2 linked regions of the Arabidopsis thaliana genome follow. The protein of the gene in region 1 purifies or fractionates together with the protein of each later gene. This does not show direct contact. Each region holds a gene or a part of one and is shown on either strand. Other genes may lie near its edges.

Region 1 (5,681 bases):
AGTAACATAGTAAACTAAATCAATCAGTGTAATTGGATCAAACAACAAGAACAAGCCTAAGGCAAACTAGGGTCATACCTGAAGAAATATCAAATCAACCCTGTAACTGGTTAAATAGGCTGAATTCAGATCAAAAATAGGCTGAATAATTTAATAAACATGATTCTGCAACCAACAAGTCTAATAATGAAGAGCTCAATTCCAAGAAACATGCGAATTGAAGAAGTGATCATCATGAAAGGCTTATAAAGAAGGAATGATTGATTGAATATACCTCAACAGTCCAGATGAAGAAATCAAGAGGCTCGGGAGGATGTTCTCTGGTCATCCTTTCCTCTGCACAAAATTCCCAATACAATTCACCAGCAATCATTTTACAAAACCCAAAGAAGCAACATATCACATGAATTTCGTGTAATCCAAATCGAAAACGAAACAGGAGAAGAGAAAGGGGGGGAAAAGAAGAGGAAATACCTACCGAAGCGACAGCTGTGAGATCCGAAATTTGAGCTTTGATCTGAGTGATTTTCTTGGGGAGAGAGACAGAGGAAGAGGAACGGGATTCAGCGAACTTAACTGTGCCAAAATGCGTGAATTTTTAGGGTTTGAAGAGAGAGAGAGAGAGAGAGATGAGAAGAGAGAGTCTGGGGGAGGGACAAATGGGTCCACCAAGTGAAAGTGTTTGCTTTTTTCCTCTCTTTTGGCTCTTTTTCTTTTCCTCCACGCTCCTCTCCCGCCTCCACGCGCCACCGTCTCTCCGTACCACGACCATTTTTGCTATTAAATCTTTTTCTCTTTTTTTTTTTATTTTATTTTTAGAAATAAATATTTTTACTGTCAAAATTAACTTTTACAGTTAAAAACCTTTAAGTACTGTAGTTATCAATTTTTTTGTGTATATTTTATTAGGGTAAATCATAGACTAAATATATTTGATTAGGTTTGACTCTTTTTCCATAATGAAAACAAAATAAGAGTTAGTGGCCAATAAGAAAAGAAAAAATCACTTTAGTCAATCAATTTAGTTTCATTTTCTTTTCCAATTAGTTAACCGACTGATTTTCAAATCTTACTTTTTAATTGTTTATGCTAGTCACAATTTAAATGTGGAAACGATGTTAGTTGATTCGCAAAAACAGTTATCAATATCATTGTTAGTTAGTTCATCGGAATATACGTAAATTCGTTGAGTTTTGCCATTTAACGCTTTCTATTTGCTCCCTCCTTTTGTTGTTTTGTAGTATGTACCATATCATAATTCTATGACATAATAGATGACTACCAAATTTTCTCTGCCAGCTTGCTTGTTATGAAATGAAGGAGGAAACAAATGTGAATAGTATCGGATTTGGGAGTTTTACAGAAAACAATTGAATGTTTCAAAGCCATTTTTACCAAACCCGAAGCTGAGATACACGTGACCAACACTGCTCACACACTCTTTTGACCTTTGAGCTTAATCATGGACCACCAATCTTCTCTTTTTTCCAAGTCCACTTAATTTCATTTGCTGACCTCATCTCCATTCTCATTTCCTCCTCCCAAAATATCACAAATCCTTTTGTAACTTGTTATGTCTTTCACTTTAAACACAGAGATCCAAGGAACGCCTCTTTTAATAATCCCTAGATGAGATATAATGTTACTAATACTATAATGGCAAAAATATCACCTTTACTATCACAAAGCATGGAACATTAGAACATAGGAAAAAGGATTTTGATTAGCTTAATCTGTTCTGACTTCGTATAAGATTTTCCACAGATACAAATATTGTTGATCCCTTGCTAACATGTTTCATCTTGAAACTTTGATTCTCTGAGACTCAAGAGTCAAGATTCGTCTTCGCAGGCCTCTGCGGCTGAAATCTCTGAATCAAGTTTGCTCATCAGAGTCTCTGTCACATGCTTGGCAACAGAGATCATGTCAAGGATGACGCTTGGGTCTAAGCCAGACCCGCTTCGTTTGGTTAACCCACATATATGGCCTGTCCGATTCACAGATATAGATACAGCTGAGCTCATCTGAGACTCCTCTTCTGCTGTTGCATCAACTATGTAATGCGTTCCCACCTGCAAAAACCAAGGACAGCATGGTAAAAGATTAGCGAAATGTACATAAGAAGATGTCGATGTGAATCAAGAAAAGTGAGATTCGATTACTTTTGTTAACGTGACTATGACCGGGACACTGGAAGTGTCAAATTGAAGATATTCCTCGTCGCTGATGTCAATCTCTGGTTGCTCATCATCTGCTACTTCAGCTGAAACATTGACTTTTGGGATGGCCGTGTTGGTTAAAGCAGCCTGCAGGAGTATAGTCAACAAGTGCATTAAAGCATGTGATCAGCCTTGAGGAAAGATGACTTTTGGGTTGCTTAAACTATCAATTGGAAACATATCGTAAAGCTACTAAAACCAATAACAAGACAACTACATTGAGCTAATCTATATACACTTAACTAAAGACCCATTCCCTTTCGTTTCCTATATTCTCTGGCCTTTCCTTTCTCATGATTCTGATTGATGGGTATGATTTACTCACTAACATTCGTAACTAAAACCTGAGACTAAGGGTTAAGAGAGAAAACCAAACACACATCACAAGAATTACCTTAATGGCAGCACCCAGGGCATCCAATAGATTCCCATCCGAACTAATGACAAGACCATCAATATAAAGGTCCCAGCAAACTTTTCCTTCTTTGATTAAAAGCGAAGATAAATTTATTCCAGCTCCTGGTACCAAAACATGAATTGCTATAAACGTTACAAACAGAAAGCGTAACAGTGTGCAGGTAAAAAAAAGCATTGCATAAACATGATTGCAGACCTGCTCCACTTTTGCCACCCAGAAGACATCTTTGAAGAGCCAAAGCAAGCTCAGAAGACAATTCCTCACCTCCTCTCCCCTAAGTAACAACATATCACAAAGAATTAGCCGCCTAAAGACTTAACACAGTAGAATTTAGGAGATTCTGAAGAAAAGTAATGATAACCAAAATCTCATGTTGAACAATTCCACTAGTAAGAGAAACACCAATAGAACGATAGAACGGGTGTGACAAGTGCTAGATAGAACCAAAACCAAACGAAATAAAAGAAAAGCTCACCCCAAATGTCGGTTCAGCTGTTGGACTGCAATCAATGAAAACTGCAACCTTTCCTTTATCGGGTTGAAGTGAACTTGGCCTCCCAATTTCAGCCTGCAATTACACAAGATTACTGGGTAACATCTACAATAGCACTTCCCATTCAACAATAGAACAGTAGCAGAGAGAACAAAGGAAGTACCTTTACACTAGCAATCACATCGGTTCCACCAATTCTAACTCTCGCTGAACCATTAGCCTAGAGCCAACAAAAACAAGAGAAAGAACATATCTGTTAAACAACTGGGAAGCAACAATGAGAAGCGGACGAGCTCTAGGAGATTACACTACCTGCGGAATAACACCGGTTTCGACGTAGATAGGACGGTAAGTCAATCTTTTCCGACCATCAGTTCGAAGATCTTGAGCAATCCCACCTTTAATGAAATGTTGTTCCCCAAGAGAAAGCCCCATCACTAATACTACACAGAGAACGAATTAGATCAACTGCTGAGGAATTTCTACCGGAATGACAAACTTCAAGGTTCACGGATTGGTGCTAGGGTTTAAGAGACAGCTCAAACAAAGTACACATCTTTATACAGCACAATCAAAACCCACTAATCTTCTTTACCTTCCCGGAGAATTCAATAGAAGACACAACTCTGAAGTTTTCCGGTGACCCTAGCGGCAACTTTGGATTGGTTAGGTTAAGAGAGAGACGTGACCACTGACAACTGCCGTAGGGTTTAAAGATGGCGTGAACATAATTATTGACACTTGTTAAGGGTAATTTAGTCATTTACCGACTTACCATTTTTTCACTGCTTTTTAGCGTTTTCTCGCTCTTCTGGTTTTTTCTTCAATCTGCCGGGAAGAAGTGCGAGCTTGGTGCCGATGGGTCGTTCGAAACTAGCTTCTCGTCCTGCTGAGGAAGACCTGAATCCAGGGTTCGTTTAAAGTTTCGTTCTTTGTCCATCTTAGCTCGAAGTCTTCTAGGGTTTTCTCTGTTCAATTACTTACTTGTCTTTGCGAAAACATTTCAATATCTGGTAATCCACTTAGCTGTGTTTGATTATCTGAATCGGAGTTCTTTTGGTACTTGTGGGTGGCTCTTGATTTCATACTGCTGTCGTCTCTTGTCTTTATCCTAATTTTGATGATTTTGGCTGTTTCAGAAAATCAAAAAGGAAAAAGATATCATTGGGTCCTGAGAATGCTGCGGCATCAATTTCCACCGGTAGGTTTCCGTTTACTTGTGCAATTAGGTGTGATACTGATAGGACTAAAGTTTCTGCTGTGGATAGATATGCATTGATGTATCATGTACCAAGCTGCGTTTTCCAAAAGTTCTTACATGTACCAATACATTGTAGGAATTGAAGCTGGGAATGAGAGGAAACCTGGCCTTTACTGTTGTAACTATTGCGATAAAGATCTGTCTGGTTTGGTTCGTTTCAAATGTGCTGTTTGTATGGACTTTGATCTTTGTGTGGAATGCTTTTCTGTCGGCGTTGAACTTAATCGTCACAAGAACAGTCACCCATATCGTGTTATGGTTAGTTTCCAACGCCGAGCAGTATATTTGAATTCAATTCAACGCTTTGTCAGCTGAAAAGTAATTAGATTAGTGATTGTGTTTAAAACAAAGAAAATGTTCTATGGTTGTATTTTTGTTTGTATTGAATCTACCCTTTTGTTTGACAGGACAATTTGTCTTTTTCGCTTGTTACTTCTGATTGGAATGCCGATGAAGAGATACTCCTTCTTGAGGTAATCATTAATCGTTTCTGATTGTACACTCCCATGTCTATATAGAGATTCCATCTGACTATTGGGAAGTAAATTGACTGTGTTAGGCCATTGCGACATACGGGTTTGGCAATTGGAAAGAAGTTGCAGACCATGTTGGTAGTAAGACAACGACAGAATGTATTAAACACTTCAATTCTGCTTACATGCAGTCACCATGCTTTCCACTTCCGGTAAGGACTGATGAAAACACATGATCGTCAGATAGTTGAACCTAGCTTGTTTATTTACTCTAGCTCCCCGCTCTGTAGGACTTGTCCCATACTATTGGAAAGAGCAAAGATGAGCTGCTTGCTATGAGTAAAGATAGTGCAGTCAAAACAGGTCAGCTTTAAAATCTATTAGCGGGGTTTCTTGTTGATTTGGGACTCGTATATTAACCTTGACTGAAAAAAGGAGGATGCTGAGCTCTGTTTACTATTTGTCACAGAAATACCTGCATTTGTGAGGCTATCTCCAAAAGAAGAGTTACCTGTGTCAGCTGAAATCAAGTATATACTTATGCTTGTAACAATAGTTTACCTACGTTTACAATGTTGAATGCACCTTTTTAAAAGTACTATTATGTTTCCATGGGCAGACACGAAGCTTCAGGGAAGGTCAATGAAATAGATCCACCTTTGTCTGCCTTAGCTGGAGGTATGTGAAAATGCTTTTATCTATATAAAATTGTAGACATTATTTGCACTTAGATTTATGGCTAAGGACGCAAATCATCCGCATTTCGTACTACGACCCCAAATATTATCTCTTCCATGATTCCATATGTAAAGTAATA
Region 2 (7,187 bases), about 20 Mb from region 1:
CCCAAAATCAATGCGTGGAGGGATTCAGATTTGTTATCCGCAGGTAAAATTTACTAGTAGCGCTCACTGAACTGAGATCTTTTGTTGATCACTTTTTCATTGAAGTTTTGTGTGTGTGTTTGTGAAGTTTGGGGATTGTGGATCACTGGATCAACATGGGTTTGCAAGGAACAAAATTTGGGTAATCGATGAGAACCCACCTCCACTTAACTCAAACGAATCCTTAGGAAAATCCTTTGTTGATCTTCTTTTGAAACCATCAGAAGATGACTTAAAGCAATGGCCTCATAGGTAATCTCCTCATCACTTGTTTCTTCATTTTTTCCTCTTGACAGAGATTCTAAAATTCTATGCTTATTCCCTTGCAGTTTCGAGTTCCGTCTTAGGGTTTCGCTTGCTGTAGATGGCGACTTAACATTGACTTCTCGGATTAGAAACATCAATGGCAAGCCTTTTAGCTTCTCATTTGCATATCACACCTACCTCTCTGTCTCTGACATAAGGTATTACTCTTCAATAAGTCAAGCAAAAGATTATTCAGTGTTTGGTGAAATCTTTATAACCCAACAATGTTTACTTTTCTTCTCTACAGTGAAGTGAGAATTGAAGGGTTGGAGACATTGGACTACTTAGACAACCTCAGCCAAAGACAGCTTTTGACTGAACAAGGCGATGCAATAACCTTTGAATCCGAGGTAAACCTTAACAAGATTCTGCAGTTATCGATAGTGAACAAGTATCTTTGCTCGGTTACTTCATATCAGAAGTTTCTTTTGATTCATGTTTCAGATGGACCGGACATACCTTAGATCACCAAAGGTGGTTGCAGTTCTTGATCATGAACGGAAAAGAACATATGTTATCGGAAAGGAAGGACTTCCAGACACCGGTAATAATCGCACAACAACTCGTTTCGATTACTTGTTTGTTGTATATGATATGATTCATTAATCGTGATGGATGGTACAGTGGTGTGGAATCCATGGGAGAAGAAATCGAAAACAATGGCGGATTTTGGTGATGAAGAGTACAAAAGCATGCTTTGTGTGGATGGTGCAGCAGTGGAGAGACCGATCACTTTGAAGCCAGGAGAAGAATGGACCGGCCGGCTAATATTGACCGCTGTTAAATCCAGTTTCTGCTTCGATCAACTCGAACTACAGAGCAAGGGATTCTGACTCTAGTTTCTGTATGCAACATTGGAAGAGCAGAGCCACCGTTTCTTTTATCTCTTTCTTTTTGTTGATTCTTGTTTTATCACATTAGAGCTTATGACCTGGTGATTTCTCAGACCAGTCTTGTGATGTAGTGACAGAAAAAGCCTCTGGTCTTTTTTTTCCTCGGCTTAATGTAAGAATGTGAGGACAAGTTGTGTTCAATCGATTCAGTTTGATCTTTTTACCAAATTGATTCATTTTTCCCAAAAAGAGTTTGCACTACTAGCTTTTTATCCTCAACTTCCACAAACAACAGCAAAATCTAATTAACAAAAATCTTGGAGCTTTACGTTTTTTTCTCTAACTCTAAAGTTTATGCAGCTCGGCGATACTCTAGCTGTTTGGTGTTTTCTTGAAGTACCTTCACAAAGACAGAAGAGCCAAAGACTTAGAAAACAAAGAACGCTTTTCAATGGTGGAAAGGGAAAACTTAGAAAGATTCAGAAGTCCATTGTTACCTCGCGTATTCTCTCTGCAATTGCCTTGCAACCTTCAGAAGCCAATGCAAACACTGTCTCAAATGTTTCCATCGGTAACTTGGCATCCATCTACACATTAAACCCAAACGTAAGCGTCTAGAATCATCTGAATGCGAATGTATAGAAATCTGATATGAAGAGTTGAAGAAAAACCTGAAGGAGTGACACTTTGTCTAATTTAGGTAGAATACCGACGGTTACATCAGCTCCTCCAGCACTGTCTTCAACATAGTTCAGATCAAGAAGAGGAGTACTGTTTAAATATCCAGCACTACAGGAAACAGCGAGATCACGCATTGGAATTCCAGCATCTGCTAGAGCTAGAGTCGCGGCATTGATACAAGCTGATCTTGTTCCTGATTACAGAACATAACACTAATGGCTGATCAGAGATTGAAAGAGATCAAAAGGTCAACTTCAGAACAGAGGTTTAGTTTAATTTTACCTCCATCAGCTTGTAGAACCTGAAGGAAAATATCGATCTGCATAAAGGAAACAATTCATCAGGAAGCAAGCAAAAGGAGGAGGAAGAAAGAAAATTTAGATTTCAATATCGCCGGAGAGTAAAAAGTAAACCTGAGAGTGAGGCATCAATTCGGTTAATATGCAAGCTTCCATTGTCTGACGGATGACAAGAGATAGCTCTGTTGATCGCCTGACCATCATAATACACAACAATTCAAACTTTATGATTTTCGTAAGAAAAAGCAAAGAGTCTCTCAGCTATATAGTAAAATGTAACCTGTCGAATTTCTGTCTTCTACGATCACCAGTACTAAACTGAGCCATACTATACTCACACAACACCTACCAAAACATACAATTAGCAATAAGCATTCCATATTCACCAAGAACAATACTAAACAAGATCAAAGCATATACATACCACTGCATGGTCGTTCTTCTTTTGCTGGCTCTTGTTTTGAATCTGAAGGAGCACATTAACAGAAATAACCAATTCGCTGAATTATACAATTAAAGTATCAATCTTGATAGGTGAGTAACAGAGTAATCAAGTACCTCTCTTGGACCATAAACAGCTGCAATTACTTTGGTATTACCCATCTCGAAGACAGCAGAACTGGAAACAAAGTTGGAATTTTTGTTCATATAAAAGTGCCGAATATAGAACTGAGATACGGAAAAAGATAAGAGACAGATTTTGAGTTTTACCCGTCAGCCTTAGAAACAACTCCAACTTCAGCTACGATTTGCCTCATCTGAGATTCATTACAAGCAATCACGAATAGACCGATTAACTTGTGAAGGCAGTGGCTTACAAAGACAGTGAATAGAGATGCAAACATACCTCGTTGAATCGGCGACCATCTAATCGAAGACCTTCAGGGTTTACGTACTCCATTGTTGTGAACTCTAGGTAGAGATAATCAAGGATGAGAGCAATGAAAGACAGAAACAGAACAAGTTTAATACTTTCTGATCCCACAGAACAGGGAACAAGAGACGAATTTACCTCTGCCAGTACTTTAGCGGCGGCGATATGACGGAGGGCGATGGACGGCGTCGAGAGAACTGAAAGAGTGTCGACAACATAAAGATTAGGGCTTTTTGGTTCCTTTTTGTGAATTAAGTGAGATTTTAAGGGTAAAACCGTCAAATCACAGGAGGATTTTTTTTTATAACTTCTAGTTTATGAAGCCAGGCAAATTGGTAATTCGCTTGCAAAGAAAAGTAAAGCTCAAAATTGCGGGAACATGCATGCAATAAGAGAATTAAGAGTGAGATCCCTTCAAAAGTATAGCTCAAATTGTTGTTGTTTTCTTTTATCAAGGCTTTTCTTGTTGACTCTGTTATTTCAAGTATGTATTAGTAATAGTAATATAGTATCTAGATCAATTTCTAAGTCAATAGTATATTGATAGTAGTATCAACGTGTCGGGAGTTACGTGTGGCAATGCCGACAAATGAATGCAAAGTGAGGTATATGAAAATGACGGGTTCCTGACGGAGGAGATGATGGAATTATTTACTAAGGTTTGCTAACATCTTCTTTTTTTATGTATGTATGTTTGGATCAAAAAGTATACAAAACCATATTAGACAATTTAAGAGAGACCACTCTCTAGTCTCTACCTAGTAAAAGTAGTACCTACTACGACTATCCTAACGAATGTCATGCAATTTAATGTTCCATATACAATTTTTTTTTTTTTAATATATTAAAAACAACCCAATAGGGCATGGGCTAAGACCCAATACACAGATGAAATCCAGTTACAAAATAGGTTAAACAGAAAAAGTCACCGACAAACAAAGAGGTTCGAACCTTGCTGCTGGTCGGAAGCAGAGTGGTCGGAGCCTTATATCTGGCGGACTCAAGCATCACAGCTTTGCGGCCGCAGACGACGGATCGAGAAACGCAGCTGGAAGATTCCGGTTTCCATCTGCACCTATCTCCGCCGTCGCACCAACCCACCACAACTCTCCCAGAAAGCTAACCACTCCGACTTACCGGTTCCGCGATATCTGTTCCATGCCAAGCAACCCGATACACTAGAGTTTAACCCCTCTCCGACTTAATGTTCCATATACATACTACTAACTATTATTAAATCAAACTGACTGTTATTTTTAAGGTCTAACTTTTAACACGAGTACCTGACTAATCCCACGTAAAAAAAAAGTCTTGAAATCACATGTATCTTTTTATAAAATCACAGGTGAATTCGTGTAAGTTATATAAGGTTCAAAATAAAACAATATAGAATTACTGTAAGTTACAAGATTTGGTATATTAACTTGTAGAATTATCGATATAATAAAAGCTTATTTTTCAATTATTATTTTAGGACCAAATCTAGTCAAAGCTCAACCATTAACTATGGAAATCTAATTTCTAGTTACCTTTTTAATAGTAGCTTTTTCTAATAAAGTTTCTGATAAGAGACTTGGTCTCCAAGCAAAAGATCATAAATTTTTTCCGAAATTAAAAATATATTTTAATATTAAAGACGAGATTTTATTACTCTTTCAAACACATCGTTAGATTCATTACCATTAAACTTCACAATTTCCATATTGGGTCAATGCGAATTGACACATACTCGTGACCAATCTCACACGCGTGGAGCCCACTAGCCGGCGCGTGTAGCAAACGTAAAACAGACCGCGCGTAAAAGAGTTAAAAGTTGCTTGGAGACCAAGCTATAGATTAGGACAATTGGCTCTACTTTCGGTACGGTAACTACCACGTGTCATAAATCTAACGTCTCAATCTGAGATGCGGAAAGCCGTTTCTGGATCCCCCATTGGCCGCCACGAAACCGCCCTTAAGCATCGTCCCTCTTTACATTAAATCCAAATCTAATTCCCGGTTTATAAACTCCATTAACCGGATTAAATTTCAATAGGTTAAGCTTTGATAAACGTATGTCATTTCACCAACTATATTTTAAGATACGTTTAGTTATAAGGTTGAATGAGTTTTGATTGGGTCAGTGTCTCATATCATATGAATAGTGTTGAACACGCATCAATTTCTCTGTAACAGTTAAAATCTAATTAAATTAATTACATAGAAAAAATCACGTTACTAAACAAAAATCTCCAAAAATAGTGATGAGTTAATAGTATTTAAGAAGGATGTTCCTGAGAAACGGCGATTCTTCTTTAACCTTTTGACTCTTCTTCTCTCTCTCTCTGCAAATTCAAAACAGTGAAAAAAACCTCTCTTCATTTTTTAACTCCCTCTCTCTCTCTCTCTCTATGGAGAGACGAACGAGACGAGTGAAGTTCACAGAGAATCGTACGGTCACAAACGTAGCAGCTACACCATCTAACGGGTCTCCGAGACTGGTCCGTATCACTGTTACTGATCCTTTCGCTACTGACTCGTCTAGCGACGACGACGACAACAACAACGTCACGGTGGTTCCAAGAGTGAAACGATACGTGAAGGAGATTAGATTCTGCCAAGGTGAATCTTCTTCCTCCACCGCGGCGAGGAAAGGTAAGCACAAGGAGGAGGAAAGCGTAGTGGTTGAAGATGACGTGTCGACGTCGGTGAAGCCTAAAAAGTACAGAGGCGTGAGACAGAGACCTTGGGGAAAATTCGCGGCGGAGATTAGAGATCCGTCGAGCCGTACTCGGATTTGGCTTGGGACTTTTGTCACGGCGGAGGAAGCTGCTATAGCGTACGATAGAGCCGCGATTCATCTCAAAGGACCTAAAGCGCTCACGAATTTCCTAACTCCGCCGACGCCAACGCCGGTTATCGATCTCCAAACGGTTTCCGCCTGCGATTACGGTAGAGATTCTCGGCAGAGCCTTCATTCACCGACCTCTGTTCTAAGATTCAACGTCAACGAGGAAACAGAGCATGAGATTGAAGCGATCGAGCTATCTCCGGAGAGAAAGTCGACGGTTATAAAAGAAGAAGAAGAATCGTCGGCGGGTTTGGTGTTCCCGGATCCGTATCTGTTACCGGATTTATCTCTCGCCGGCGAATGTTTTTGGGATACCGAAATTGCCCCTGACCTTTTGTTTCTCGATGAAGAAACCAAAATCCAATCAACGTTGTTACCAAACACAGAGGTTTCGAAACAAGGAGAAAACGAAACTGAAGATTTCGAGTTTGGTTTGATTGATGATTTCGAGTCTTCTCCATGGGATGTGGATCATTTCTTCGACCATCATCATCACTCTTTCGATTAAAAATCTCTTCTTTTTTGGGGAAATTTTTGTGTGGTGATGATGACGTGGATACATCGTGACCGTCGGCTTACCTTTTTTAGTCTGAATGACGTGGACTGTTCAGATCAACTGAAGCGCAAACCCAAAAAAACTAGGGTTTTGTTTTATTAATTTGTGGGTAAATATTTTAGTTAAGAAGAAGATAAGTATGTTAATGTTTATCAAGGTTTGGACCTTTCGTTGTTTTGGTTCCTCTCTCTGAGATTGTCTCAACGGTAGGAAGCAGTATATAAATGTGTTTCTATGTCTATAAATTATTTATGAAAAACAAATCGTATGGAATTTTATTATGATTATGCGACAAGTGAAACAAGTCTTTACTTCGAAGTAAAAAAACAAAAAAAAAACTTATTCACAAATAGAATTGTCAGAACAGTCTTGGAAATTCAAGAAAAGTCATGATCTTGACTAATTATAAATGAATGATTGTATCATATTATTGATATCATCTTTTGTGATTAGAGATCAAAAAATATTTATATATATAGTACTTTAAAATATAAAAAATTATATTTTAAATAGTAATCACCATGCACCAACACCTCTCTTCTTCTTTTTTTTTTTTTTTGCATATGCAATTGTTGTTTTGTTGTGACAAATAAAATAAAACTGTGGTGCTCCTATCTACCAATTATTATGAAGCGATGTCATGGTTTACTTATCGCTTTCTACAAAAATGTTCTCAGTCATGTAGAATTGGTGCTGGTTTTGTTGAGTGTATTAAATGTAAATCCGTATCCTTTTTTTATATATAACATAAATCTTTAATATAAAGTAT

Evidence for each region. Proteins that work in one complex are often made in the same cells at the same time.
Region 2: the proteins of AT3G07750 (region 1) and RRP41 purify together in Arabidopsis thaliana (affinity purification with mass spectrometry; 2 studies listed by BioGRID, with this or other methods). This does not show direct contact.

The regions. Positions count from the first base shown.
Region 1 is NC_003074.8:2,471,370-2,477,050, reverse strand, and holds AT3G07750 (3'-5'-exoribonuclease family protein), read right to left. Parts: upstream 3,820-5,681; 5' UTR 3,726-3,819; exon of another isoform or gene 3,574-3,725; 5' UTR 3,566-3,573; coding exon 3,443-3,565; intron 3,351-3,442; coding exon 3,294-3,350; intron 3,206-3,293; coding exon 3,113-3,205; intron 2,912-3,112; coding exon 2,833-2,911; intron 2,739-2,832; coding exon 2,614-2,738; intron 2,307-2,613; coding exon 2,163-2,306; intron 2,073-2,162; coding exon 1,833-2,072; 3' UTR 1,476-1,832; downstream 1-1,475. Other genes in the region: ADA2A (ADA2 2A), read left to right, coding at 3,989-4,041, 4,270-4,331, 4,468-4,670, 4,799-4,864, 4,951-5,076, 5,155-5,227, 5,334-5,394, 5,484-5,542.
Region 2 is NC_003074.8:22,799,852-22,807,038, forward strand, and holds RRP41 (3'-5'-exoribonuclease family protein), read right to left. Parts: upstream 4,254-7,187; 5' UTR 3,984-4,253; intron 3,342-3,983; exon of another isoform or gene 3,230-3,341; 5' UTR 3,171-3,229; intron 3,071-3,170; 5' UTR 3,060-3,070; coding exon 3,006-3,059; intron 2,917-3,005; coding exon 2,870-2,916; intron 2,778-2,869; coding exon 2,717-2,777; intron 2,625-2,716; coding exon 2,583-2,624; intron 2,504-2,582; coding exon 2,439-2,503; intron 2,352-2,438; coding exon 2,273-2,351; intron 2,179-2,272; coding exon 2,142-2,178; intron 2,053-2,141; coding exon 1,850-2,052; intron 1,766-1,849; coding exon 1,676-1,765; intron 1,579-1,675; coding exon 1,531-1,578; 3' UTR 1,370-1,530; downstream 1-1,369. Other genes in the region: AT3G61610 (Galactose mutarotase-like superfamily protein), read left to right, coding at 1-43, 128-291, 369-503, 593-695, 790-889, 970-1,178; CRF6 (cytokinin response factor 6), read left to right, coding at 5,423-6,370. UniProt on the Arabidopsis thaliana protein: Non-catalytic component of the RNA exosome complex which has 3'->5' exoribonuclease activity and participates in a multitude of cellular RNA processing, maturation and degradation events.